7 linked regions of the Mus musculus genome follow. The protein of the gene in region 7 interacts with the protein of the main gene of each other region in a pairwise test. Links are inferred from orthologs where the notes say so. Each region holds a gene or a part of one and is shown on either strand. Other genes may lie near its edges. The genes, in order: Neil2, Tstd2, Exosc5, Plekhn1, Nck2, Tssk3 and Rel.

Region 1 (3,500 bases), on a different chromosome or scaffold from region 7:
TGCACACTGGGATTACGGGCATGTACCTACCTCCTAGCTTCCCGAGGTTGTCTCTGCCCTTCCCGAGAACACTAACTAGGTCAGACACGGACTCCGGTTTTGCAGCTTCCAGTGTAGGGGTAGCTCTGGTTGGATAAGCTATCCCTAGAATGAATCCCATTATTTTCTTACTGAAGTGTGTTATATGTCTTTTCTTTGCTTAGGGGCACATACATGCAGGAGTTAGTTAATCTGGCTTGAAACTGGAAATGATGCTCTTTGCCGCCATTTCTTCATCTTCTCCATAATGAGCTCCTCCCCTCCCCCCAACTCCCAGCTCTGGTCCCACTAACCTTCTGGATTCAGATTTTCAGCTTTTCATTATCAGCATGGATTGCTGCAATGTATTAGAAAGCAATGTATATTCATATTTTACTTACTACCTCTTGGCCCTGAGGTATTTATGATTCTGATCATAGGACCTTAATTTCTCAGTTTGATCCAGACTAGTATAGAAACATAATGTGCAGCTGACCTGACGGCATATGGGACAAGTAACTGTGTGTAAATGTGACCCACATAGCAGTCACTATACACACATGTGACATGGTTATATAGCAATAATTATATGGTGATGTACATTGATAGTTGCATGTGTGAGTAGATTATGTTGTGGTAACTATATATACTTATGGACTGACTCTACAGAGGACTGTTTATGAATATATGCGTTGACCACACAGTGGTGGTTGTAATGTATGATCTCATTATGTGTGAGAACACTATATGTATGATCTCTTCTGTCTCCTCAGGCTGGTACTCCATTTTAGTGGTGGTGGCTTCCTGGTATTTTATAACTGCCAGATGTCATGGAGCCCTCCCCCAGTGATTGAGCCCACCTGTGACATATTGTCTGAAAAGTTCCATCGAGGACAAGCCTTGGAAGCTCTAAGCCAGGCTCAGCCTGTGTGCTACACACTCTTGGACCAGAGATACTTCTCAGGATTAGGTATGACCTGTGTGATGGGAGGAGCCCCACGGAGTTGATTAATGGTATAGTGACTCATCTGTAGGGCAGGCAAGACTTAAGGACTACTATCCCAGTTGTGCCAACACTGTTGGTTTTAAGGTTGGTTTATCCCTTGATCTTAGACTCGGGTTAGTTTAAGAAGATCCTCACTTCTTTCTGTGGTGTAATATTCACAACAAGATAGTGTTTTCTGCTCTAGAGGCAGTGGGACCTGGGAAATGGACCTGATAAATGAGGAAGATGAAAGTTTCATGCAATAGCCAACTTTATTCAAAGCATCAGACAATTTATACTCTGAGAGTTAAGAGAATGGTCACCTGAATAAAGCTCTCATGAGTTCAGTCTGTATACAATCATAAGGACAAGCTACATGTGGCAAAACACGTTTTTCCATAAAGATATTGTATTAGTCAGAGTTCTCTAGAGTCACAGAAATTATGGAATGTCTCTACATATTAAGGGGAATTTATTGTAATGATTTACAGTCTGTAGTCTAACTAACCCAACAATGGGCAGCTGTGAATGGGAAGTCCAAAAATCTAGTAGTTTCTCAGTCTCACAGACTAGTTGCTTCAGCTGGTCTTCTAGAATCCTGAAACAGTAGGTTCCAACAGATGTGCTGGCAAATAAGTGCAAGCAGGTGAAAAAGAGTGAATCTTCCTTCTTCCAATGTCCTTTATAGGCCTCCAGCAGAAGGTGTGGCCCAGATTAAAGATGTGTATCACCATGCCTGAATCTGGAATTTACTTTGTTCCTGGCTGACCTTGATCTCAGAGATCTGTTATTCCTAAATCTCCTGGGTTTAAAGATGTGTACTACCTTGCTACCTTGCTTAAGCTTTTTAATGGCCACTATGCCTTAAGATCTCCATGTTGAGATCCAGGTCAGAAACCTGTATCTTCCAGGCTCAAGATCACAAGTGTGCCCTCCATTTCTGGATTGTAGTAATCCCAGATGTGGTCAAGTTGATAACTAGGAATAGCCATCACAGATCTATATATACAGCCTGGTGGTGGTGGAGCACGCCTTTAATCTCAGCACTTGGGAGGCAGAAGCAGGTGGATTTCTGAGTTCAAGGCCAGCCTGGTCTAAGGGAGTGAGTTCCAGGATAGCTAGGGCTACACAGAGAAACCCTGTCTCGAAAAAACCAAAACCAAAACCAAAAATAAAAAAAAAACCCACAAATCTATTAATACATAACAGCCAGTTGTGTGAACAACAAAGTAAACTCTCCCCTATCTGATATACCTGGGAAGAGCATGAAAACATATTCCAAGAATAATACCACGTTTTGAAGAAACTGAGGTCACAAGACTCTTGTCTGGTTTTCTTGGAGTTTTCTCACAAGCACTCAGAATTGTCCTCGAATGATTCCATTCTTGGACCATGTTCTGACATGATAGGACTGTCACAGGCCTTCTGATGTGATATCAGTATGACCTCCTGACAGAGGGATCACGTTGTGTACCTGGCACACTCTAAAGCCTACAGAGCATCTAGAAGGTTCTGGGTTAAGTCATGCTGGGAATGGTTGTCCTGCAGGCCATTGGAAGAGAGGGAGGAGAATGCCCACTAATAGGTACTGCTCTTGGGCACTGGGGCTTCTGATATCGAAGCAGAGTCAGGTATCAGGTCAGCTCCAGGCTCTTAGAAGCCAAGAGAAAGAAGCAGGTCTCTGCTCTGGAGAATAGATTAGTGAAACTGTGAGCATTTCCAGCTGAGACAGGGAATGCTATAGTTCTTAGTACGGGGAGGGTTATTTTCTGCCCACAGGAGAGCAATAAGGGGCACCACAACTGGCTGTTAAAGCAGTTGCTATTGGCAAAGCTGTGTGCATATACAAAGTGTGACTTGCCTGCCGTGAGTATAGTTCATGCTGAAAAGATGTGAAAGTGCTGTGCTCTCATGGGAGAACCAGTGGAGTCTGTTTCTGTGCCAGAAGGATGAACAAGGTTTCCAGCAGTGGCTTTTGGATGTGCGCAGAGACCTGACTACACAATGATACTGGTGAGAGCCAGTGTGAGTCAATAACTCCAGGGACTCGGGCACAGTCCTGCCCTTATGCTGTTCCATGGGATAATCACTTGTTAGCTTTCCCTTTTCTTCAGATGAGGAAACTAAAGCAAAGGGCACCTCGCTGGTGAGCAGCGAAGCTGAGATGAGTCCAGGTAGGCCTCAGCTGTAACCGCAGTGAGATTATGAAACTCTTGGGGAAACGTCAACTGTTTAGACTGTGGCCCCCATGTACCATTGAACTTACTCTCCTCCGCTTAGCAAGGCCATTGCTCAGTAACCAGCAAGATGGACTGAACTCATCATCACCTGAGACAGATTGTGAGCTAGTGAGCTCAACACTTAGAAGACAAGGTGGGGGGGGGGGGCTCAGCAGTTTAGCCTAGGCTACATAGCAAGTTTGAGGCTTTCCTCCCCTCACGTCTCCCTTTGTTTTCAGGGAACATCATAAAGAATGAAGCCTTGTACAGAGCAAGGA
Region 2 (3,500 bases), on a different chromosome or scaffold from region 7:
CAGCATTGAGTGCCTCACAGAGCCTTACGCCCACAGACAAAAGGAGCTCCCCCAAAGACTGTCTCACTCCTAGTCAGGAGGTGTCTGCTTGGCTTCCTGATGTGAGCCATGTTAGCCCCCAGGAGCTGAGGAGGTAAGTTTTGCACTTTGTAGTTTGGTTTACATTTAAAATATTTTCAACCACAATGAGATACTACAGATAGCCCACTGAAATAGGAAAATGAGAAATAGCAGCCTTGGTAGATACAACTGACATGGGGAGGCAACTGAAGGGCCCAGGCGTTGCTAGGGAGAGTACAGAATTCTCCTTCCCAGCGATCCACTCCTGGGTGTGTGGCCAGCAGAAATAAAACACACACCCATAAAAGCTTAAACTCGAATGCTTGTGGCAGTTGTTGTTTTTTTTTAATTCATTCTTTTAATAGCTGAGTAGTACTCCATTGCATAAATGTACCACATTTTCTGTATCCATTCCTCTGTTGAGGGGCATCTGGGTTCTTTCCAGCTTCTGGCTATTATAAATAAGACTGCTATGAACATAGTGGAGCATGTGTCCTTTTTTTTTAATATTTTTTTTTTTAGGTATTTTCCTCATTTACATTTCCAATGCTATACCAAAAGTCCCCCATAACCTCCCCCCACTCCCCTACCCACCCACTCCCACTTTTTGGCCCTGGCGTTCCCCTGTACTGGGGCATATAAAGTTTGCGTGTCCAATGGGTCTCTCTTTCCAGTGATGGCTGACTAGGCCATCTTTTGATACATATGCAGCTAGAGTCAAGAGCTCCGGGGTACTGGTTAGTTCATAATGTTGTTCCACCTATAGGGTTTTTGTGGCAGTTTTATATGTAATAACAAAATGTTGGAAACAACACATTATTTTGTATGCTAACTAAAAATAAACTAGTTGTACTTCCCAATGTTAGCGGCTGGAGGAATGGTCCATTGGGATAAATGCTTGCCACATAAATGTGAGAACCTAAGTTTCAGTCCCCAGGACCCATTTAAAGCCAGCCGTGGGAGTGCTTGGGGTCATCCCAGTTCTACAGCAAAATGGGAGGCAGGGACAAGAATCCCCAGAAGCTCCCAGGCCAGCAAGTGTTGGGTACTCAGCAGTGAAGAACAAACACGGTGGAAGATGAGGACCAACACCCAAGATTGTCCTTGGACTCCCACATACACATTGTGACCTCCGTGTGCCTTCATTCATACAAGAACACATTCCTACCATATACATACATCATACACACAGGCATAAAGATTTAAAAAAATAATGACTTAAAAAGACAAACTGGAAACAACTGTAAGTAGCCATAGCAGGAGAGTGAAAGGATAGGTGGAGTCATGACAGAACACTGCTGCCTAGAGTGGTGGAGCACGGCAGACACTGATGAATTTACAAATATGCATCTAGACAGACCAATCGTCCATCAAGATTATTGGGAAAGGCTGGAGAGATGGCTCATGGTTAAGAACGCAAGCTACATTTCCAGCTGATGCAGGTTCCATTCCCAGCATCCACTTCCTGGATAACTACTGTCTGTGATTCCAGGGGATCTGATGCCACCTTCTGGCCACCATGGGCACTGCAAATACAGACAAGCATGAAGGCAAAACACCCATACACATAAAAATACTAAATGCATAAAATGTTTAAAAAATTAGAGGGAATACAATATTCTATATACTGAATTTTTATACTCTTTTCTGGTCTCCTAAAGTAGTGATGTCTTCTCAGTGGTTTAGTGCTACTCTGTGAGCATGCTGACATAGAAAAGTTTGTCTTATGTGGCCAATAATAACACGTCTATAGATAAGTGTACTACATGAAAAAATGGAAGTAAAATGTTTTTCATGGTGAGCCAGTCAAACCAGATACTGCCTTGTGATTGAGGATAGGCCACAGTGGGCTCAAATTCCCAGCTTGCCTGTAAAGTAGGGTTAATAATACCTGTCTCCTGGTGTGAGAGCTAAGTGAGGACAGGGAAGCGAGTTTGCTTTTTGTAAGAAGTCTGGTGCAGATACTGTACTATGTAGAGAAAATATGAAGAGAAGTGCTCTTATGTTAGGAGACTAAAGATAGGAGGGAGGCAGAGGTTGTTCCAGCTTCATGCTCTCCTGCTCTGCCTGGGTGCACTGGGAACTGTGGCTCCCTGTGGCCCTGCTCTCCAGTTCTGCCTGGGTGCACTGTGAACTGGGGCTCCTTGTGTCAATGCTCTCCAGTTCTGCCTGGGTGCACTGTGAACTGGGGCTCCTTGTGTCAATGCTCTCCAGTTCTGCCTGGGTGCACTGTGAACTGGGGCTCCTTGTGTCAATGCTCTCCAGTTCTGCCCCGGTGCACTGGGAACTGTGGCCGTGCTCTCCAGCTCTGCCTGGGTGCACTGGGAACTGTAGCTCCTTGTGGCTCCAGTTCTGCCTGGGTGCACTGGGAACTGTGACTCCCTGTGGCCGTGCTCTCCTTCTCTGCCTGGGTGCACTGGGAAGTGGGGCTGCTTGTGGCTCCAGTTCTGCCTGGGTGCACTGGGAACTGTAGCTCCCTGTGGCCGTGCTCTCCTTCTCTGCGTGGGTGCACTGGGAAGTGGGGCTCACGTGGCTCACATGCTCCCTCCTCTGACTTTCCTTGTGTAGTGGCCAGGGTGACGAGGAAGGAGAGGTGCTCCTGTATTACTGCTACTGTGACTTGGAGGACCCCCATTGGGTCTGTGCCTGGCAGACAGCTCTGTGCCATCACCTGCACCTTACAGGCAAGGTAAGCCCTGCTCCAGATGTGCCCTGCAAGCCTCTTCTTGTCTCCTTAATCTTGGATTGTAGGAGCTGTGCTCTTTGAGAAGTCTTCACATGGGGGTTCTCGAAAGGAGGGAAACCCTGCTTGCAGGGTAAAGAATAAACCAGCTCTTGATATGTTGCTTATAGACCAGGCCTCAGTCACCCTATACCTAAAGGGTCAAATAGTAAATATTTCAGGTTTTGTTACCTTTTTTTTAATTCATTGTTGTTATAGATTGGAAACATTCGTGGGCATGGCTAGGTTCTGATACATCTGTCAGCTGAGACAGGGAAATGTACTGAACTCCAAAGCCTCTTATAGATTCTGCATGTTTGATTACAAGTCACACCTTGGTTTTCCTAGAATCAGGTCTCTGGTGATCTCAGGTGTGACATTTACTCCTTCCCTTCTGTGCGGCCCTCCCCTCCTTGTCAGGCCTCCTGTACTCTGAGCGAGTGCCACTCCAGTGCTGCTCCCTCAGCAGTACAGTGTGCAGGGTCCTCACCATGCCCTGCCTTTGCTGCTGCTTAAAGACTTCCTGCAGTCTGAGAGGAGAGCCTGTCTCCCTTGTGGGGGGGCCTCGTGAGGTCAGAAGCTTTGCCTTCACTGGGGCATTCTCAGCGCTGGAACAAGGTTCAGCACTTAACAGGCTCTGTAAGGATTGGAAACTGTAGAATAAAGGAAATTAAAACTGCATGTTTGTCCGGTATCTATGAGTGTGTGCTATGAGAGG
Region 3 (3,190 bases), on a different chromosome or scaffold from region 7:
GTCCCTAGTGCCTGAGGACAGAAGAGTACGATCTTCCCAAGAACTGTGGTTACATACAGTTGTGAGCCATCTCTCCAGCCCCAACCTCTGACCGACTTATACACATACATTTTATCGATTTGGAGCTGTGCTGTAAAGTGTAGTGGGCATTGGGAGTTACAGTCAGAAACATGGAAACTGCTGTTGAATGCAGTGCCTTCACATCGTAGGTGGCCTCTCTGACGCCTGTGGACGTTAGCAAAGTCACACGAGGTCTCCAGACCCATTCATAACCATTTGGGGGAAATAAGTAGAAATTAAGACCCCCTACACATTCACAATCTTTATTGTTTGTCCTTTTAAAATGTATTTTACTAATATATTTTAATTGCATCTAATAACTGTTTTCTGCTTGGCTGGCTTATGAGATGTTCTCCCGTAGCTCAGGGTAGCCCCAGACTTACCATTGGAGCCAAGGATGATTTTGATTTCCTGATCTTCCTGTGTGTCTCCCAAACACTGGGATATGTATATGCGTGTGTGGGCGAGAGCTGTGTGTGCGAGTGCCCATGAAGGCAGAAGAGGGTGTCAGTCCCTTAGAGCTGGGTTTCGTGGTGGTTGTGAGCAGCCTGATAATGGGTGCTGAGAACTGAATTCTAGTCCTCTGGAAGAGCAGTGTGCATGCTGACACACACCACCAGCCATCTCTGCAAACCCCAGCTACCTCTAAAAATTAACCAGTGGCTGAAGTCTGTGGTAAGCTCTGCACCTTCTGGCCAGTGTCTTATATGTTTCAAGTGAACTGTGTCTCTTTAAAGTTGGCATTTATTTCATCTTCTTGTGTGATGTTGGGAGACTGAGGGCCTCCTGCTTCTGTGAGCCACAGTCACCTGATCTTCACAAACTTACCATGAGGAAGGTACTTAGCTGCTTAAAGTTAAGAGAGCAGAGGAAAGAAGTGCTAAGTGCAGCACAGAGCGGCCAAGGCCTCCCTCTTTCCCCCAGGTGATACCTCTGTCCTGGCTGGAGTCTATGGGCCGGCCGAGGTGAAGGTCAGCAAAGAAATCTTCAACAAGGCCACCCTTGAAGTGATCCTGAGGCCGAAGATCGGGCTGCCTGGTAACTGGACTCCACTGAGCCCCCCAAAAGATCCAGTCTGTTGGGACCTCATCTGACCCCTCGATGCTTGCTGTGTCCAGTCTCTGCTGCCCTGCTCTCCTCCCTCTTTGCCCAGCTTTTGATTCTGCTGCACTGGAATGGAATCTAGAGCATCAGGCCTGCTGGGCAGATGCACTTCCAGGAAGCCACAGTCCCAGGCTCTCCAGGGTGGAGTCCGGTCAAGCCCTCTGCTGCTGAGATTAGGCCTCCCAGATCCTCACTGGTGGTCTCCAGACAGGAATTCCAGCTCTGAGCCACACCATTAGCTTTTCCCTAGTGAATTTAAGGCTATGTGGCTAGGCCATGTAGCCAGCCCTGTTAACTCTTTTTTTTTTTTTAAGATTTATTTATTTATTATATGTAAGTACACTGTAGTTGTCTTCAGACACACCAGAAGAGGGAGTCAGATCTCATGGTTGTGAGCCACCATGTGGTTGCTGGGATTTGAACTCGGGACCTTTGGGAGAGCAGTCAGTGCTCTTAACCGCTGCTGAGCCATCTCACCAGCCCCCCTGTTAACTTTTTGAGACGGGGTCTCAAGTCCTCTGAGCTGGCAGTGAGCTCTCTTTATAACCTAGGCTGCCCTCAAATTCATGATCCCACTGCCTAACCTAAAGTCTCGAGATTACAGACCTGTACCACCAGACCCACCCTCTCTTGAGCCTTTTCTTTCTTCCCTTTTTTGCCTTCCTCGCTCTTCCTTCCCATTAACTTGTTTTTCTGCCCTTTTACCACTTCTCCCCATGTGTCATGGGATGGGCCTGCTCTGATGAGAGTAGATATGGCCAGTAGCACAGGACATGGGCACCTCTGGGTATTCCTCCTTGGGTGGCTGGCTGGTAGACCCCTGGCCAAGGTTGGCCATAGCAGGAGTTACTCAGAAACTTGCAGACTCGCCCGCTTTCTCCTGGGAGTGTGTACTCCGACCCGGACTGAGGCTGACAGCCCCTTCCTGAAGTCTCCCTCCAGAGGCTGGACCAAGCAGAGCAAGACGACGGGGTGGAAGGGAAGAGCCTGACCGCTTCCCGTCTCCCCAGGCGTGGCCGAGAAGAGCCGCGAGCGGCTGGTCAGGAATACCTGTGAAGCTGTGGTTCTAGGGGCCCTGCACCCCCGGACCTCAATCACCGTGGTGCTGCAGGTGGTGAGCGACGCTGGCTCTGTATCCTTTCCCAGCCCTCTCCTCCAGGAAGTGGCCAGAACCTCCCCTCCGGCTTCCGTACCCTCAGCCACCCAGGACCTGTGCCAGGCAGCAGCTCCTGCAGAGCATACAACAAGGCCATGGTCAACAAGATGGTTCAGTGGAGAAAGGTGCTCGCTGCCAAGCCTGACGGCCTGAGTTCAGTCTCCAAGGCTCATATGGTAGAAGGAGAAAACCAACTCCCATAAGTTGTCCTCTTAACTACCACGTGAGCACAATGGCACACACCTGCCCCTGAACACACACAAGTAGATGAATGTAATTTTTAAAAATTAGCAAGCAGGGCTTACTGTGTGCTGCTGGGCCTGGCACTGAGCACCTCATGATGTTAAGTCATTTAGTTCTCACTGGGCTTGTATTGGGTAGCACTGTAATTCCTATGTAAATCCCAAGACAGTGGGCTCAGGCTCTCTGGTTCGAGAGCCCTGCCATGTGTGTTTCTCATGTTGCCTTGTTTCAGGTGAGGGGCAGTGTTTGGTCTAAGGGACCAAGATGGAAACAAGGGTGGGACTCAAGCTCCAGGCACGTCCCACCTCAGAGCTCCATTATCTAGCATGGTAGCTGCCTACTAGACTCCCCGGGGGTGGGCCTGGCTTTGCCAGTAATGTCTTTCTTGTGTGGCTTTGGGATATCTCTCTATTTGACCCTGTTTCACTCATGACACTTGGTATATCCCTTAGTGTACATACCTGTTCCCTAGCATTGTCCCATCTAACACAAAGATATGAGACATGGAGAAAACCATTTGATCTCATAGCTGGGAGAGAGTTGGTAAGACCTGGTGTGGAGCAGCGGCAGCCACTTGGCGCCAGAACCGCGTAACCATCCTGCCACGCCGCTGCTCTGTGATGAGTC
Region 4 (2,278 bases), on a different chromosome or scaffold from region 7:
CAAGTCGGCAAATACGTGGGAGCCAACATCCACGGCCGGGGCTGTCTCCCAGCCTCTGAGACCAGTGGCTCTGCTCTCCCCTAGGACATCAGTGACTGCTATCTAGAACTGTTCCCTTCCCACCTGTACTTCCAGGCCCATGGTTCTGAGGGACTTACATTCCAGGTGAGTGGCACAGACGGAGGGAGGGAGGGACTGTGTCCCCTGGGAGTCCCTGCAGCCCCTCCTATACTATCCTGTGGCAGGGACTGCTCCCACTGACGGAATTGAACATCTGCCCGACTGATGGGTCCAGAGAACATGCCTTCCAGATTACAGGTGTGTGGAGAGAGCTGGCCTGGCCACAACTGGACCAGGACCTCTAGACCGGGCATTGGAGGTCCACTTGCAGCCCTTGGAGAGGAGACTTTCCTGTGGGCTTCTGTGAGTTCTGAGCTTGAGCCCTCGCCCACTTGACTCTTCTGCCCCTAGGCCCGCTGCCTGCCCCACTCCTTGTTCTCTGCCACAGTGAGGCCGAGCTCAGCCACTGGCTCTACCACCTGGAAAAGCAAATGGCTCTCTTGGGTCTACAACGATGCCACTCGGCACCCCCACAGGTCAGTAGCAAGAGCCTGTGAGTCCTCCCCCACCCAGACTCTCTGCCTGCCTTTGACCTATTCTTTCTTCCTCCTCAGGGGTCTCTGGGAGATAAACCCCCCTGGACCCAGCTACGGCGAGCATATGGGTGTGGTTCCATGAGCGGCGCAATCTGTGCCTCAAGGGTCAAGCTGCAGCATCTGCCCTCCCAGGTAGGTGGGGAAAGACCTGAGGTGCAAGGAGATGGGGAAGGATGCAGGAACAAGTCAGGCTGGACTCCGGGTGCCCAACCCTACTCTGCCCTTTGACCCCTTACAGGAACAGTGGGACCGGCTTCTGGTACTATACCCAGCATCCCTGGCCATCTTCTCTGAGGAACCAGAAGGCCTTAGCTTTAAGGTTGGCCCTCTCCACATATACCTGACCAGGAAGGTGCCCTTTCTGGGGTGGGGGTGGAGACTCAGAAACCTGTATTTCAGGGCCTGTTGGGACAGAGCACAGGGCTCCACCTATCTGGCCCCACTGCCCTGGTCAGTCTGGTCCCTGCTCTGGCACAGAGCAGGAGTCTCCACCCTCTAAATCCCATCTCATCCTGCAGGGACATTGTTACTCTTGGAGTGGGTGGAATGGAACAATCTACTTCTTGGGATCTCTGGTGCATGTTGCCCCTCTGAGCAGCTTCCATGCATCATGGAAGGGGGGGAGGTGCGTGTGCATGTGTCTAGGACTAAAGCATGACACTGGTGTGCACTCACAGTCACTGAAAATCAAAACAAGGGGGCCTCCCTCACAGGGGCCGGTCCCTATTAGCATCTGCCTACAACTGACATTAGCTGGTGAAGATCCAACAGGAGGTAGAGTGGAGATGTTCCAGAACAAAGCTGCCTGGCCTTTCTCAGAGTGTCATCCTGAGTTTCCAGCCCAGCTCTAGAGATCAGGATGGAAGAATAGGGCCAGGAAGAGGCTGAGATGACCCAGATAAACACCTAGTCCTCGTTCTACAGGGGGAGCTTCCACTAAGTGCCATCCATATCAACTTAGAAGAGAAGGAAAAGGAGATTCGCTCCTTTCTCATCGAAGGTAGGGTCCTACCGAGAACTAGCCACTGCTTGACCGGGCTTCTGGGAGGGGTGTGAGTTTGGTGGACGCTTCATCTCTTTGCTCTGTGGGATGAGAGATGTACTTGTCCTGTCAGACCTTAGTTCACATATCTGTGTGCTAGGCCACCTCATCAACACCATCCGCGTGGTATGTGCCAGTTATGAGGATTATAGCCAATGGCTGCTGTGCCTCAGGACTGTCTCTCGCAGGGATGGGGCCCACCTGCCACCTGGCCCAGAGAGTTTCCCAGGATTACAGAAGCCCACACAGGTGAGAAGTCAGTGAGGTCCCTGTAACTCGGGTGTGGCAGTGATGCAAACTAGGAGCAGGAAGTTAGGTCCAAGCGGGGATAGAGAAGGAGACAGACCCGGCCACTCACCTTACTTCTGCTACTTAGCTTGTAGGTAGAGGCCGAGGTTCACTCTCTTCCAATGGACGGAGCAGCTGGAAATTAGAGTGTCCAGTGTTCCCCACCAGCCAGTCCCTCCCTGAGTCCTCGGTGCCAACCACTATAGGCTTCCCTGCCCCTCCTGTACCTGTAAGTACCTAAAGGAATGACATGGGAGTGGGATTAAAAAAAAAAGGGGGGGACTTTTGTCTC
Region 5 (4,012 bases), on a different chromosome or scaffold from region 7:
ACTATTGGTTAGAGTTCTGCCTTCATTGTTGTAAAGCTAGATAGTAACAAAGATGAGGTCTGTAACAAAGAACGGATGAAGCTAGCATCTCCGACTGGAAGAGACTGTTGGGTGTGCTGATTTTGTACAGGATGCCTCCTAGTGCCCTCGTGTCAGGCTACGTGCCAGGTACTTAACATAGAAGGCAGGTAAACATCTCATGTGATAAAGCCGAGGAAGTTGTGAAACACCTGTGTAAGGTGACACAGTTCAGGAGCCTACGGTCAATGGCTGCGAGGACTATAGCCAAGCTTCCTCACGTTACTTATGCCTGGGAACTTCCTATAAGAAGGCAGGCAACTTTTCTTTCTTTCTTTTTCTTTTTTTGTTACGTAGGGTGAATTGTTTCTGCCTTAATAAGGAGGAAACAAGGGCTAGGGTTGAATCTCATTAACATAAATGTGAGTCGTCCGACCTGAAAGCGGAATTTATTTGAATATCAGGGGTTCCTTTGGGGTATAAGGAGCGAAGGAGCTTGGAGAAGAAACCTCTGGATCCAGTCCTTCTCTTCGATCCAGGGTTCTAGCTTTCCAAGTTTGCTTATAGGTTAGCTACTACTCAAGTCTGGGAGAGCAAGGTTTCCTTCTAAAGCTTTCTCAGCCTCCTGTACTAAAGAATTCCTGGGCTCTAATAAACTGGCCAGGACGCTGCGGAGGCAGCTGAGGTCGGGTTTCCTCTCCTCCCCCACTAGGAAGTGGTCCCGCCTGGAGGTTGGGGGTGGGGGGGATGGAGTAAAAAAGTGTCTGGATGGGAAAGTAAATAAATGCAAGGCAAATAAATAAAGAAAATGCCCACAAGCAATTACTGGGAGGAAGTGACATTTTTATGTAAGTCACTTTTCTGACAGACACCAGGCCTGTTTGGCTGAGAGTGCCGTGGGAATGCTTGGGGGGCGGGGTAGGGAGGTCGCTGTAAGGCTCCCGACGCACAGCCGGGTGCGGAGACCACCCGGTCTCGTGGGCTGCAAGTGGCACCTCCTTATCCCTAGCAGCCCCTCCCGGGTGCCCCCAGCTCCAATCTAGAGCGGGTTACGGCTTGAAGCCCCCAGGCGGCGCTTTCCCGAGGCCTGGCTGGGACTCCCAGGTGGGTCCCCCGCCCCGCGTGCGCCGGGCTGGGCCGGCCCCTGGGCGGCGTCACGGCAGCCAGGGAGGAGCGCGGGCGGGGAGCGCGCGGAGGCGGGCGCTGCGCGGGAGGGTCGCCGCCGCGGATCGCAGGCCGGTGCGCGCGGCCGAGCGGGCGGCGGCGGCGACGGTGGTGGTGAGGAGGGCTCGGCGGCAGGCAGGCTCGGGGCTCCCGGGCCGGCGGGGTCCGCCGGGTCCAATTGCGTCCGCTTGGTGGCGGGAGGAGGGAGCGGTGCAGACAAAGAGCGGCATCTGGGCGGGCGCAGCGCGGCCGCCGCCCCGGGACTCGCGCTGCTGCCCTCCGGCCTCGGCGTGCACTGTGCGGCGAGGTAAGGCGATGGCGGGGGCTGCAAACTTGGGCCGGTCCGTGGAGTTGGAAGAGAGGGGCGAGCGGGCCGCGGCCGCCCGGGGAGGGCCAGGGAGCGCGTACCCCTGCGTACCCGGCCGGTGCCCTCAGCCCCGCCGCGGCCTGGCGTCCCCGGGCACCCGCACCTCGGATACACACACCTTCCTGCGAGCCCTCGCCTCCCTCTGCCTGGGGCTGGCGTGGGGGTGGGGCGCCCTCCGCGGGCGGACTCCGGGGACCAAGGACCCAAAGCCCTCGGGAACACTAGCAGCCCTGGCCTGTGGGCGGGCGTGGGACCGAACAGTGGCCAGGTCGCCGGGCGCGCGTGCCTGGGAAGAATAGCCTGGGATCTGAGGGCCACAGCGCTAGGAAGCGGGAGGCTGCGATGGCCGGGGAGAACTTCCAGTATTTAGAACTATTCGTGATCCGGCACAAAGCTGCTGTCACGTTCCATAAAGGAGGTCCTTGCCTCGGCGCAGGGCGCTTTTGTGCCTGGTTCCTTCCAGTCCCTGCGCCCGGTCCCGCATTTCCAAGACTTAAACCTCCTCAACCAAAGTTTTTCCCGGTTGCTCTGCCCCCTCAGTTTATTTATTCAGGGCGATTTAAGCAAGTGGTTCTGCAAGAATTTGATGTGTGACTTTTAATGCCCCGGTGGCACCTCCCTTTTGAGCGCTGTTAGCTTGGCATTGTGTGGAGAGGTTTGATTTGCAAAACGCTGTTATTTATACACAACAGCGATCCTCCCGGAAGGTGTGCGCGGGTGGTGGTTAATGGATAGCAGAGGTGACTTACAGTAGTATTGTGAACAGCTTGGGGACACAGCTGGGTGCCAAGTGGAGTGGGCCCTGCCACCCTAACCCATTCAGGTTGGCCGCTTCCTCCTTATTTGGCTCTCCTTATTTTGCTAACAGGTTTAAGGCCAGTCTTGCCAAGTTTGCGTCTGTGTGTGGGATGAACAGGTCCGAGTTTGGGCTGGAGGTGCACAGGCCTGCTCCTTGGTTGACCCAAAAAGAAACAGCCCGTTGGCCAGTGGGCGTGGCTTGCTGGTATCCTCCCCTGGAGACTTCTCTGCTCCTCTCCCAATACAGGCTTTTCTGCAGAGATTTTGAGGAGGAATGAGAATAATTTTGGGTGTGTTTCCAGCCTGGGTTTTTTTTTTTTTTTTTTTTTTTGGTATAGTTAGCAACTGTGGTTTTTCTAGTCTAAAGGTCACTACTTTATCAGAACATCTCAACTGTGCTGTGGGCACTCCCTCCATTCACTTTCCAAGTGTTTATAGATACAGAGGTAGAAACCGGACTTTCTCGTGCATGTGCCTGGTTTATGTAGCGAAGGCAGCCAGTGAACACAATGGAGAAAGTGCACTTTAGACAGATAAGGTTTTACACCTTCGGGTCTTTCCTAAGTGACCACAAGTGACAATCCTCCCTTAAACTTTCTCACCTCCTGGTAGGTTAGCGTAGTTTTGATTGAAGAACGTAAAGGTCCCAGTGACCTGAAGCTGAAATGAGAACTTTGTGCAGCTGTAAAGCTTTGACTTACAGCTTACTGCCTGTCTTGCTCTCAGTTTCTTACACGTGCTTGAACAGAGCCCCAGTTTCAGGGTTGGAAGTTGCTATGTGAGCTCTGGACACTTGATAGGCGATTTGCCCACCGATGGAGAGACGACTGACCCCCTTTAAAATGGGTCGAACTTATAAAAGGTGGTTTCCAACTCCTTGTAGGCTCTTCAGTCCATTTCCAGGCTTTCAGTTTTGCTTTCCCCATGGGTCCTTGCTTCAGTCTTCTTCCTCCCTTTCTCTTTGATCCGGGCTTATTCCTGACCTCTGTCTTGAACATTGGGGTACTGAACATTGCTGACAAACAGCAGCACCCAGGTGTTTGAGAAATGTGCTCTCATCCTTGCTAAATCTCTCCAGAGCTTTCCTTGTTGGAGCAGACCGAATGACCCCTTGAAAACAGCCCGATAGTCACTGATTGCATAGTGACCTGTAGTCCTTTATTTGATCATTTGCATTAGCTTAATTTGCCCTGGCAAGACTGGGCTTGGTTGCTTTGTAGGGCACACATGCTTCTAACTGACTGGCTTGCAGTGTGCACTGGGGCTGATGAGGCTCGTGGAAATGATTTTCTGATGTTCATAATGAGCCTTAATGACTGAAGAATTCAAGACTGCTTGTTGCAAGTGCAGAGCAGTGTAGGGAACAGTGGTTGGGGAAACTTGTAAGCTAACATTTCTTACAAAAGGACCGGGAAGCTTCCCATAGAGACTTAGGAAATTCATTTTCCCATCCAGAGGGACTTCAAATGTTGCTTTGGAATTGTTTCTCTTTCCTAAAAAAATGAGTGATAGAAACATTTCTCAAGGTGTTTTCAAAGGACATATGTGAAAAAACAATGATGCCATTTGTGTGCTGTTCTGTGTAAGTTAGGCAGCCTTTTAAAACAAGCTATCAGAGGTATGCAGCCATGGTGTTTTTTGTTTTTTTTTTGTTTGTTTGTTTGT
Region 6 (3,581 bases), on a different chromosome or scaffold from region 7:
GGAGGTGGGCAGGGAAGTGGAGGCGGGTGGAAGTCTGGTCTAAGAGTGGAGGTAGCCCAAGAGTGATACTGGCTGGGTCCGAGAAGTCGGTGGGCCCGATCCGACGGATACACATACACGGCCAGCCCGGAATGGAAAGAACAGTTTATGCTGTGCTTTATTAAAATGTGCATCATTCTTTTATTTTAAAATGTGCATCATTGTCTCGTGCTCGGCGCGTGCGACCTCAGCGTGGTGGCCCGCGGCTGGCCTCGTCCGTCCCGGCTCCTGCAGAGCTGCCGTGCGCAGGCGCACTCAGGTAGCACGGGCCCGGGGGCTCCCGCCCATGGCCAGGTAGACGTCGATGGGCACGTGCAGCAGCGTCAGACAGTGGCAGCCCGGGCAGCGTCGGAGCGGCCTGGCGAAAGCGGCAGGCGACAGGGGGCGCAAAGTGTTGGGGCGCGCCAGGGGATGCGCCTGGGATCTTTGGGGGTAGGGCCCTGGGGATGGCGATGGGGCAGGGCCGAGGGGTGGGACGACGGACTCACCTGACAGGGTTTTGATCCGTAGCTACAGGCTCCGGGCTATCCTGGGACTCGGGGGCGGAGGCAAGGCCAGGGGAGTCTCCGGCCTCAATGGGGAATCTTCGACCCTGTGGGGTCTCCTGGGCACTCATGTCCAGGCCCCGGGGCACTCTGTATAGGAGTGGCGGTCAGGCAGCTCCGGGCCCCTAGATGCTCCCTGCCCGTGCCCGTCTCCTGTGTCGTGGCTTACCTGCCAGAGGCCGAGGCCGGTCCCAGGCTGGAAGCAACTGCCCGAGCCCTGGCCACGGGAGGACGCTCCGGTCCAGGCGGAGCCTGGCAGGTGTCTGCTGCGCGCCCGGGCCCCAGCGTCGAAGGGGAGGACTGCATTGTGACCCCGATCTCTGCGTGCTGACCTCACACAGCCTGTTCCTCGCTGGAATTCTTAGGCAGTCCCAGAGCGTTCCGGCATTTAGTGAGGGCCCGGGCCTGAGGCCAGAGGGCTCTGGAGATCGCACCTTGGTGACCAGTTTGCACTCTTTCCCAACAGCTGGATGGGGACTTCGGAGGTGAGGGCGACCTGCCTGGAAGCGGAGCCCACATGGAGAAGGCCCGCCTCCCTGACCTACGCGGCCACCCAGGCCCGTTCCCCAGCATCGCTACCACTCTGCGCCTTGCTCAAGACTGACTTAACCCATGCTGGATTTGCTGGTGGTGGCGAGGGAAAGTAGGGACACTGCCCATGTTGTCTGAGGGTCACACAGCATTTACATCACAATTGGGCAGGAGTTTAAAAATGTCTGGTCCTCTCCCTCCCCACCACCTGTGGCTGTGTCCAGACGGAGAATGTTCTAGCCCTGGAGGCAGCTGTGAATGAAGTCCTTGGGGGGAAAAGAAGCAGGCCGAGGGCGATGGTGGAGTAGAGCTGCCTCGCAGAGGCAGCATGAGCTGAGAGGGTGACAAGAAGGAGGCGCTACACAGCATGGAGGACTTTCTACTCTCCAATGGGTATCAGCTGGGCAAGACCATTGGGGAAGGGACCTACTCAAAAGTCAAAGAAGCATTTTCCAAAAAACATCAAAGAAAAGTGGCAATTAAAATTATAGACAAGATGGGAGGGCCAGAAGGTGAGCTGGGGTCCTTGGGAGGAAGGGTGGGCTAGCCAACACGGGTAGGCCCTTTCCTCAGAGCATCTCTTCCTCCCTTTGAGTCAGGATGGCAGAAAGCAAGTCAGATTCCTGCCCTAAATAGAAGGATGTAGGGAAACCAGGATCCTCACACCTTTCCAGAGCCACAATCGTAGCACAAGAAAAAGAAAGGGTCCTAAACCGGGCGTGGTGGCATGCGCCTTTAATCCCAGCACTCAGGAGAGGCAGAGGCAGGTGGATTTCTGAGTTCGAGGCCAGCCTGGTCTACAAAGTGAGTTCCAGGACAGCCAGGGCTATCCAGAGAAACCCTGTCTCAGAAAACAAAATAAAAAACAAAACAAAACAAAACAAAAGGTCCTCAGTTTTTCCTGTCCCAAGAGGCGTTGGCCAGAAGACAGCAGGAACTGGTACCCTGCAGGTGGAAGAGGGACAGGACAATAGATCCCTGGAAAGAATAGTGAGATGCAATAGCTTTGAACTTCCCAAATCCCTCATCTGTGGTCTCACAGGCTGCTGGGAGGAGGTTCCAAGGATGAGCTAATCATGAAAGGAAGGCAATACTTGCTGCTAGAGACACCCGAGACTGGTCAGGGAGTCAAGAAAGAACACCTAGACATGGTAGGTGTCTGGAAGCTGGAAAGCAGGAGCCAAGAGGGAGGAACCAGGACGTTTTGATCTTGATTTTTGTCTCCCCACTTTTTCCCTCAGAGTTTATCCAGAGATTCCTGCCTCGTGAGCTCCAGATTGTCCGTACCCTGGACCACAAAAACATCATCCAGGTGTATGAGATGCTGGAGTCAGCAGATGGAAAAATCTACCTGGTGATGGAACTGGCTGAGGGAGGGGATGTCTTTGACTGTGTGCTGAACGGAGGGCCACTTCCCGAGAGCCGGGCCAAGGCCCTCTTCCGCCAGATGGTTGAGGCTATTCGCTATTGCCATGGCTGTGGCGTGGCCCACCGGGACCTTAAGTGTGAGAACGCCTTGTTGCAGGGCTTCAACCTGAAGCTGACCGACTTTGGCTTTGCCAAGGTGCTACCCAAGTCACGCAGGGAGCTGAGCCAGACCTTCTGTGGCAGCACAGCCTATGCCGCCCCTGAGGTGCTACAGGGCATACCCCATGATAGCAAGAAAGGTGATGTCTGGAGCATGGGTGTGGTCCTGTATGTAATGCTCTGTGCAAGTCTACCTTTTGATGACACAGATATCCCCAAGATGCTGTGGCAGCAGCAGAAGGGGGTGTCCTTCCCCACTCATTTGGGCATCTCAACCGAATGCCAGGACCTGCTCAAGCGGCTCCTGGAACCAGACATGATACTCCGGCCTTCAATCGAAGAAGTTAGTTGGCACCCATGGCTAGCAAGCACTTGATAAAAGCAATGGCAAGTCCTCCCCAATAAAGTAGGGGGAGAAAGCAAACTGAAAAAACCCGCTTCTAAAATGGTGATCTATATTTTACACTTAAGTCCACTTCTCCCATGGCTGACTTCCACCTCCTCATTGCGGCTCCACAGGCCTCTCACCTTCCCTGTAAAGACCTTCCTGGAACTAAGGGCCTTATTTAGATTTTTCTTTTATTAATGGCGCTCAAATGATTTTCATATAGGTGATTAATTAGCACTCATTACGTTAGGCCCTAGCAGCATCAGCAGGCCGGGAGAAGTGAGGAGAGAAAGGTGAGCCCGTGGAACCACTCAGGTGCTACAACTCGCTTTCCAGATAAAAGCCAACGCACCTGGAATGCAGGCCTGACCTCCTGACTCCTTGGCTTGGTGAGAAGCTGCTTGGGCCCAAACCTTTCTCAAACCAGAGGCCAAGCTGAGTCAGGAAGAGACGGGGCATCCTTAGCACCCAGGCTGGATCCCACCTATGAGGCCAAAAGTATGCTTGCAGCTGTGGGAGCCTCTGCCGAGGGGGACAGAAACATCCCCGGA
Region 7 (4,088 bases):
TTCACTTTTATTGGGGGGGGGGAAAGGTTATCTTGAAATTCATACAAAAAGTTGGTGAGTAGTAAGGTCCACAAAAATAATTCCTTCCTATACTTCCTGTTATGTGACACAGCAGAATCATGTTAAAGAAAAAAAATGTGACTAAATACAAACTTTCTAAATTTTAAAGTACATTTCACCAAAGACAATCTTAATCATTAGTAAAATAGTATGTATCTTACAAGGCAACTGTGCACCTCCCTCCACTTTGTTCTTTTTAGGAAATAGTGAAAATTTTTAGATATGGACACAAGACAGCTAACTTAAATAGAATACAATTGTTTGAATAATGACTGCTTAAATATGCAGATCTTTGATCAGGAACATTTTTTTCCATGTTGCCTGCTATAATTAATCTTATCAAAAAGCTAGAACAAAGCACAGTATTGTTTAAAAGGCAATGAAAAACAGCTTAATGGCTAGCTAGGAAGTCTTAACTTGCTAATTTACCTGAACAATAATTAGTATCATCATATAAAATCCTGTCTTTTCACAACATTTATATAATTCTGCCCAGGAGATTATTATCTACGACACTTTACATTTATAAGCACCACCTATTCAATTACACATACCTATTTACATATGACATCGGAGAGGAATGAACAAATGATCTCAATGCTTGGTAATCAATATGAATACTTTCCTAGGTTTCAGTACTATATTGCAAAAAAAAGGATCTAAATTACATAATCATAAGTTAAACAGTTTTGTTGCTTTTAAATTAGTATTTCAAAGGGAATGGGAATTTTAAATTTATTTCATAATTTTTCTCTATTTGGTCTTTATAACTGATATAAGGTACCCAGACTCCTTTAAACTATATTTTTGCCTAGAAACTTCAAATAGCAGAATTACAATTTAAATGACATGGTGTATTTTAAGTAGTCTCATTTAGTGCAACCCTTGATAAAAGATCAAAAAGCAAGAAGATAATGATACTACAACTTGCAGATTTGTTTTCTATGTTTGTTGGGATTTTTTTTTTTTCTCTGACAGTACTGAGAACTGAACCCAGGGCTTCACAGAAGCTGGGCAAGCCCAACCCAACTTCTAAATCCTTAAAACTTGCCATTTCTTTTAAAAAGTTCCCCACTTTAACTTTTGGAATCATTTCTATAACAGCACAAAATATATGTCCTTAGGCAAATTGCAATTGTATTACATTTTAAAATCATATCTGTCTTACAGTTCTTTAATAAATGACTTTTCTGTTGAAAAAAATTCAAGTATTGCATTCATACACTATATAATAAGATTCTATTAGGTAGACAAGGACAGAACTGTTTTAACAAAGCTTGCCACTCTTTACAAATGTCATACAAAAATCTCTTTCTGATTACCAATGAATTAAATACTTAAAGCCTTTTTGTGCTTCTAATCAGAACATGAGTTAAATTTACAAATTTACTAGAGCATCTGAAAGCCTGGCTTCATTTAAATGGGTAAAGAGAAAGTTGAAATATTTTAAACTACACTTGTTTTCTCATGAAAACCACAGACAAACTGAAATCAAGTGTCATGTGAAACACCCCAGTTTCCTTTACAGCAGGAGTTATGATATTGTTCTGCTCAACTCTTAAAGAGTTCACTAAGCTTTCTACTTCCTCTTCTCTGCCAGACGTCGGCTGCCTTCTACTGAGGGTCACTGGGAAGATAAGGGTCAGCGTCCTGCTACAGACAGAAGGTGTCATTTTTAGCTCCCACCACCATCTCAGCTGCTTCAAGTGCTTGCTTTACATATAGTACGACTGTCATACTAAACTCCCCTGTCCTGTAAACTGTTTCTTATAAATGTCCCCCTCAAAGCAGATGATCCAAAACTTACTAGTGGCAGATAAAACACTGACATTAAACGATGACATTTTCAACCCTACCAGTTACTTTAAAGTATAATCAAATCTCGTCCTCTTGCTGCTAACAAAACGCGCGTGCAGGTTTGGGGTTGGGGGTTGAAGGGATCGAGGTCTCTACACGGTAAATTAGACAAGCAACATCTTTAGCTCGTGGGGGCGGGGGTAGTGTTTTCGCTTGGAACGAATTAAAACGCCACTGAGGACTTTCACAGCCACGCCACATTCTGTACCAGTGTCAGCCGCTAGCACGATTGGACTTAAAAAAAGAAAGCTCGTCTGAGGTCCGGAGGTTCCTCTTTTTTGTTCAAAAATGTAAAACTGGGTCTCCATACCACTGAGTCTTTAAACGCGAGGCTTCTCTGCTCTCCTTTACTGAGATTACCCCCTGTGATCCTAAAAGCACACCGTTGGGAATTTCGAAGGTTCTGGCTATTAGGAGAAGATCAGATTACAGTGCGCCGCTTTGATTTCACACGCAAACCCCGGAGCGGGCAACTTTTCAAACGGCTGACAATTTGCCAGATGAGAAGACTTGAAAGGCAGACCGTCCTAACCCCAAACGGAGCCCCCGACAGCTCCTCCCCGTGACCCGCGAGTGCTCGCCCCGGTACTCACTCGAGGCCATGGCTCGGCTCCGCGCGCCGCTCGCTGCAGCTTCCAGCGTCCGGCCCGAGGCTGCAAGGCAGCCAGTCAGTCAGTCAGTGAGTCAGTCAGCCAGGCAGTCGGTCAGGCAGGCAGTCAGCCAGCTAGCCCGTCAGTCAGCCAACCAGTGAGGAGGCTGAGCAGCCTCCGCAGCCGGGACGCCTGTCCTCGGACCACCCCCGGGCCTCCTCTTCTTTCCCGGCTCCTCTGGGTTTGCGGCTCACACCTTCCCACCCCCGAATCTTCGCGCTCCGGTCACTAGTGTCCTGGCGTCGCCTTGCCAGGATGCCGCGGCAGGGGCAGGGGGCGGGGCGGACCGCCCGGCGGAACGTGGGGGGAGGGGGGGGGATTTCCCGCTGCTTACGTCACTCGCGCCACCGCCTACCCGGGGCGGGGGGCGGAGCCTCGCGGCGGGCGCGCGACCCCGCGCGGGCCAGTGCGCTTACTTCCTCCAGAGCCACCACAGCCTGCACGCTCGCGCCGGGAGCTCCGTGAGGGCGCGCAGCGACGACTCCGCGCGTGAGAAGCCGTCGGTCCCTGAGAAATCCCCCTCCTCCAGAGTCCTTGAGAGCGCCGCTTAAAGCCGAGGGGCGTGTTCGTGACGTCATGCTGGCCGAGCGGCCGGAGGCGGGCCGGGCGGTGCACCGGGCGCGCTCCTTGGCCGCCCGAGGCCCGCCCGGGGTTTTCGACCGGTGGTTCCCCCTCTTCCCGATTTCGCACATGCAAATCTCCGCCCCCGCGCCAGAGAGTTGTCCGGGTGCTCTGGAGGGGAAGTGCGGAAGCGCCAGCGCCCGCGTTCGGCAGTAAGGCGCAGATTTGCATACGGGGACCCCCGCAGCCTTATTTTCCCTCTATATCTACATTACGTCTTTTACCTACCAAAGTTTTTCAGCTGCACTGCGAGGCCGCTAACCCCATTCTGTATAAATGTACACGACGTCCAGAGATTGGCCGAGATACCCACGGCCTGAGGCCTGGACCGAACTTTGGTGCTTTGACAGGTCAGGCGGAATCTTGTTTGCCTTCAGTTGCTAATACGCACCTGTTCTCTTAGTCTATGATGTATTAGCATGTCATTGTATACACGAGTATTAGGGTTGATTGGGGTTTGGAGAAGCTGAGTAGCTTGTCCATACTTTAGAGTTCTAGAAAGGAATTGCACGATTTAAGCTTAAGATTATCCAGCCCCGTTTAGCGCACTGCACTCCCAGCACGCGGGAGGCTGAGGTAGGTGGACTGTCTCAACAACAGAAATAACTCAGGGTTATCTGGCTCCACCTCTTACGTTCTCCAGTCATTTACTGACTAAAACAAGTAATGGAGGGGAAATAGAGAATATCATCTTGCATGGCCAACAAGATAGCTTAGAGAATAATTGCGCTTGCTACCAAGCCTGACAAATTGAGTTTGATCCATGGAAGGACAGAATCAACTTCCAAAAGTTGTCCTCTTACCTCTACATGCGCTTCAAAGAACGCCAAAGTGTGTGTGTGTGTGTGGGGGGGGGGGGGTTGGATAATTAAAATATATACTATCCTGTCATAAAAAATT

The links.
Region 1: the proteins of Rel (region 7) and Neil2 interact in binary tests that used the Homo sapiens proteins (3 or more experiments, as listed by UniProt). The two-hybrid records come from large-scale screens. The link is inferred for Mus musculus from reciprocal best matches to the Homo sapiens genes REL and NEIL2.
Region 2: the proteins of Rel (region 7) and Tstd2 interact in binary tests that used the Homo sapiens proteins (3 or more experiments, as listed by UniProt). The two-hybrid records come from large-scale screens. The link is inferred for Mus musculus from reciprocal best matches to the Homo sapiens genes REL and TSTD2.
Region 3: the proteins of Rel (region 7) and Exosc5 interact in binary tests that used the Homo sapiens proteins (3 or more experiments, as listed by UniProt). The two-hybrid records come from large-scale screens. The link is inferred for Mus musculus from reciprocal best matches to the Homo sapiens genes REL and EXOSC5.
Region 4: the proteins of Rel (region 7) and Plekhn1 interact in binary tests that used the Homo sapiens proteins (3 or more experiments, as listed by UniProt). The two-hybrid records come from large-scale screens. The link is inferred for Mus musculus from reciprocal best matches to the Homo sapiens genes REL and PLEKHN1.
Region 5: the proteins of Rel (region 7) and Nck2 interact in binary tests that used the Homo sapiens proteins (3 or more experiments, as listed by UniProt). The two-hybrid records come from large-scale screens. The link is inferred for Mus musculus from reciprocal best matches to the Homo sapiens genes REL and NCK2.
Region 6: the proteins of Rel (region 7) and Tssk3 interact in binary tests that used the Homo sapiens proteins (3 or more experiments, as listed by UniProt). The two-hybrid records come from large-scale screens. The link is inferred for Mus musculus from reciprocal best matches to the Homo sapiens genes REL and TSSK3.

Annotation. Positions count from the first base shown.
Region 1 is NC_000080.6:63,183,526-63,187,025, reverse strand, and holds part of Neil2 (endonuclease 8-like 2), read left to right. Parts: intron 1-791; coding exon 792-988; intron 989-3,461; coding exon 3,462-3,500. UniProt on the Homo sapiens protein: Involved in base excision repair of DNA damaged by oxidation or by mutagenic agents. Has DNA glycosylase activity towards 5-hydroxyuracil and other oxidized derivatives of cytosine with a preference for mismatched double-stranded DNA (DNA bubbles).
Region 2 is NC_000070.6:46,128,476-46,131,975, reverse strand, and holds part of Tstd2 (thiosulfate sulfurtransferase/rhodanese-like domain-containing protein 2), read left to right. Parts: coding exon 1-133; intron 134-2,628; coding exon 2,629-2,749; intron 2,750-3,500.
Region 3 is NC_000073.6:25,662,153-25,665,342, forward strand, and holds part of Exosc5 (exosome complex component RRP46), read left to right. Parts: intron 1-984; coding exon 985-1,098; intron 1,099-2,095; exon of another isoform or gene 2,096-2,174; coding exon 2,175-2,296; intron 2,297-3,190. UniProt on the Homo sapiens protein: Non-catalytic component of the RNA exosome complex which has 3'->5' exoribonuclease activity and participates in a multitude of cellular RNA processing and degradation events.
Region 4 is NC_000070.6:156,223,235-156,225,512, reverse strand, and holds part of Plekhn1 (probable pleckstrin homology domain-containing family N member 1), read left to right. Parts: intron 1-84; coding exon 85-165; intron 166-245; coding exon 246-318; intron 319-471; coding exon 472-596; intron 597-674; coding exon 675-788; intron 789-894; coding exon 895-975; intron 976-1,580; coding exon 1,581-1,656; intron 1,657-1,798; coding exon 1,799-1,947; intron 1,948-2,074; coding exon 2,075-2,215; intron 2,216-2,278. UniProt on the Homo sapiens protein: Controls the stability of the leptin mRNA harboring an AU-rich element (ARE) in its 3' UTR, in cooperation with the RNA stabilizer ELAVL1.
Region 5 is NC_000067.6:43,444,539-43,448,550, forward strand, and holds the start of Nck2 (cytoplasmic protein NCK2), read left to right. Parts: upstream 1-1,212; 5' UTR 1,213-1,489; intron 1,490-4,012. UniProt on the Homo sapiens protein: Adapter protein which associates with tyrosine-phosphorylated growth factor receptors or their cellular substrates. Maintains low levels of EIF2S1 phosphorylation by promoting its dephosphorylation by PP1.
Region 6 is NC_000070.6:129,488,508-129,492,088, reverse strand, and holds Tssk3 (testis-specific serine/threonine-protein kinase 3), read left to right. Parts: upstream 1-1,318; 5' UTR 1,319-1,482; coding exon 1,483-1,627; intron 1,628-2,157; exon of another isoform or gene 2,158-2,266; intron 2,267-2,356; coding exon 2,357-3,018; 3' UTR 3,019-3,081; downstream 3,082-3,581. Other genes in the region: protein FAM229A, read right to left, coding at 295-397, 528-674, 754-890. UniProt on the Homo sapiens protein: Serine/threonine protein kinase required for spermatid development and male fertility.
Region 7 is NC_000077.6:23,768,170-23,772,257, forward strand, and holds the start of Rel (proto-oncogene c-Rel), read right to left. Parts: upstream 2,801-4,088; 5' UTR 2,521-2,800; coding exon 2,511-2,520; intron 1-2,510. UniProt on the Homo sapiens protein: Proto-oncogene that may play a role in differentiation and lymphopoiesis.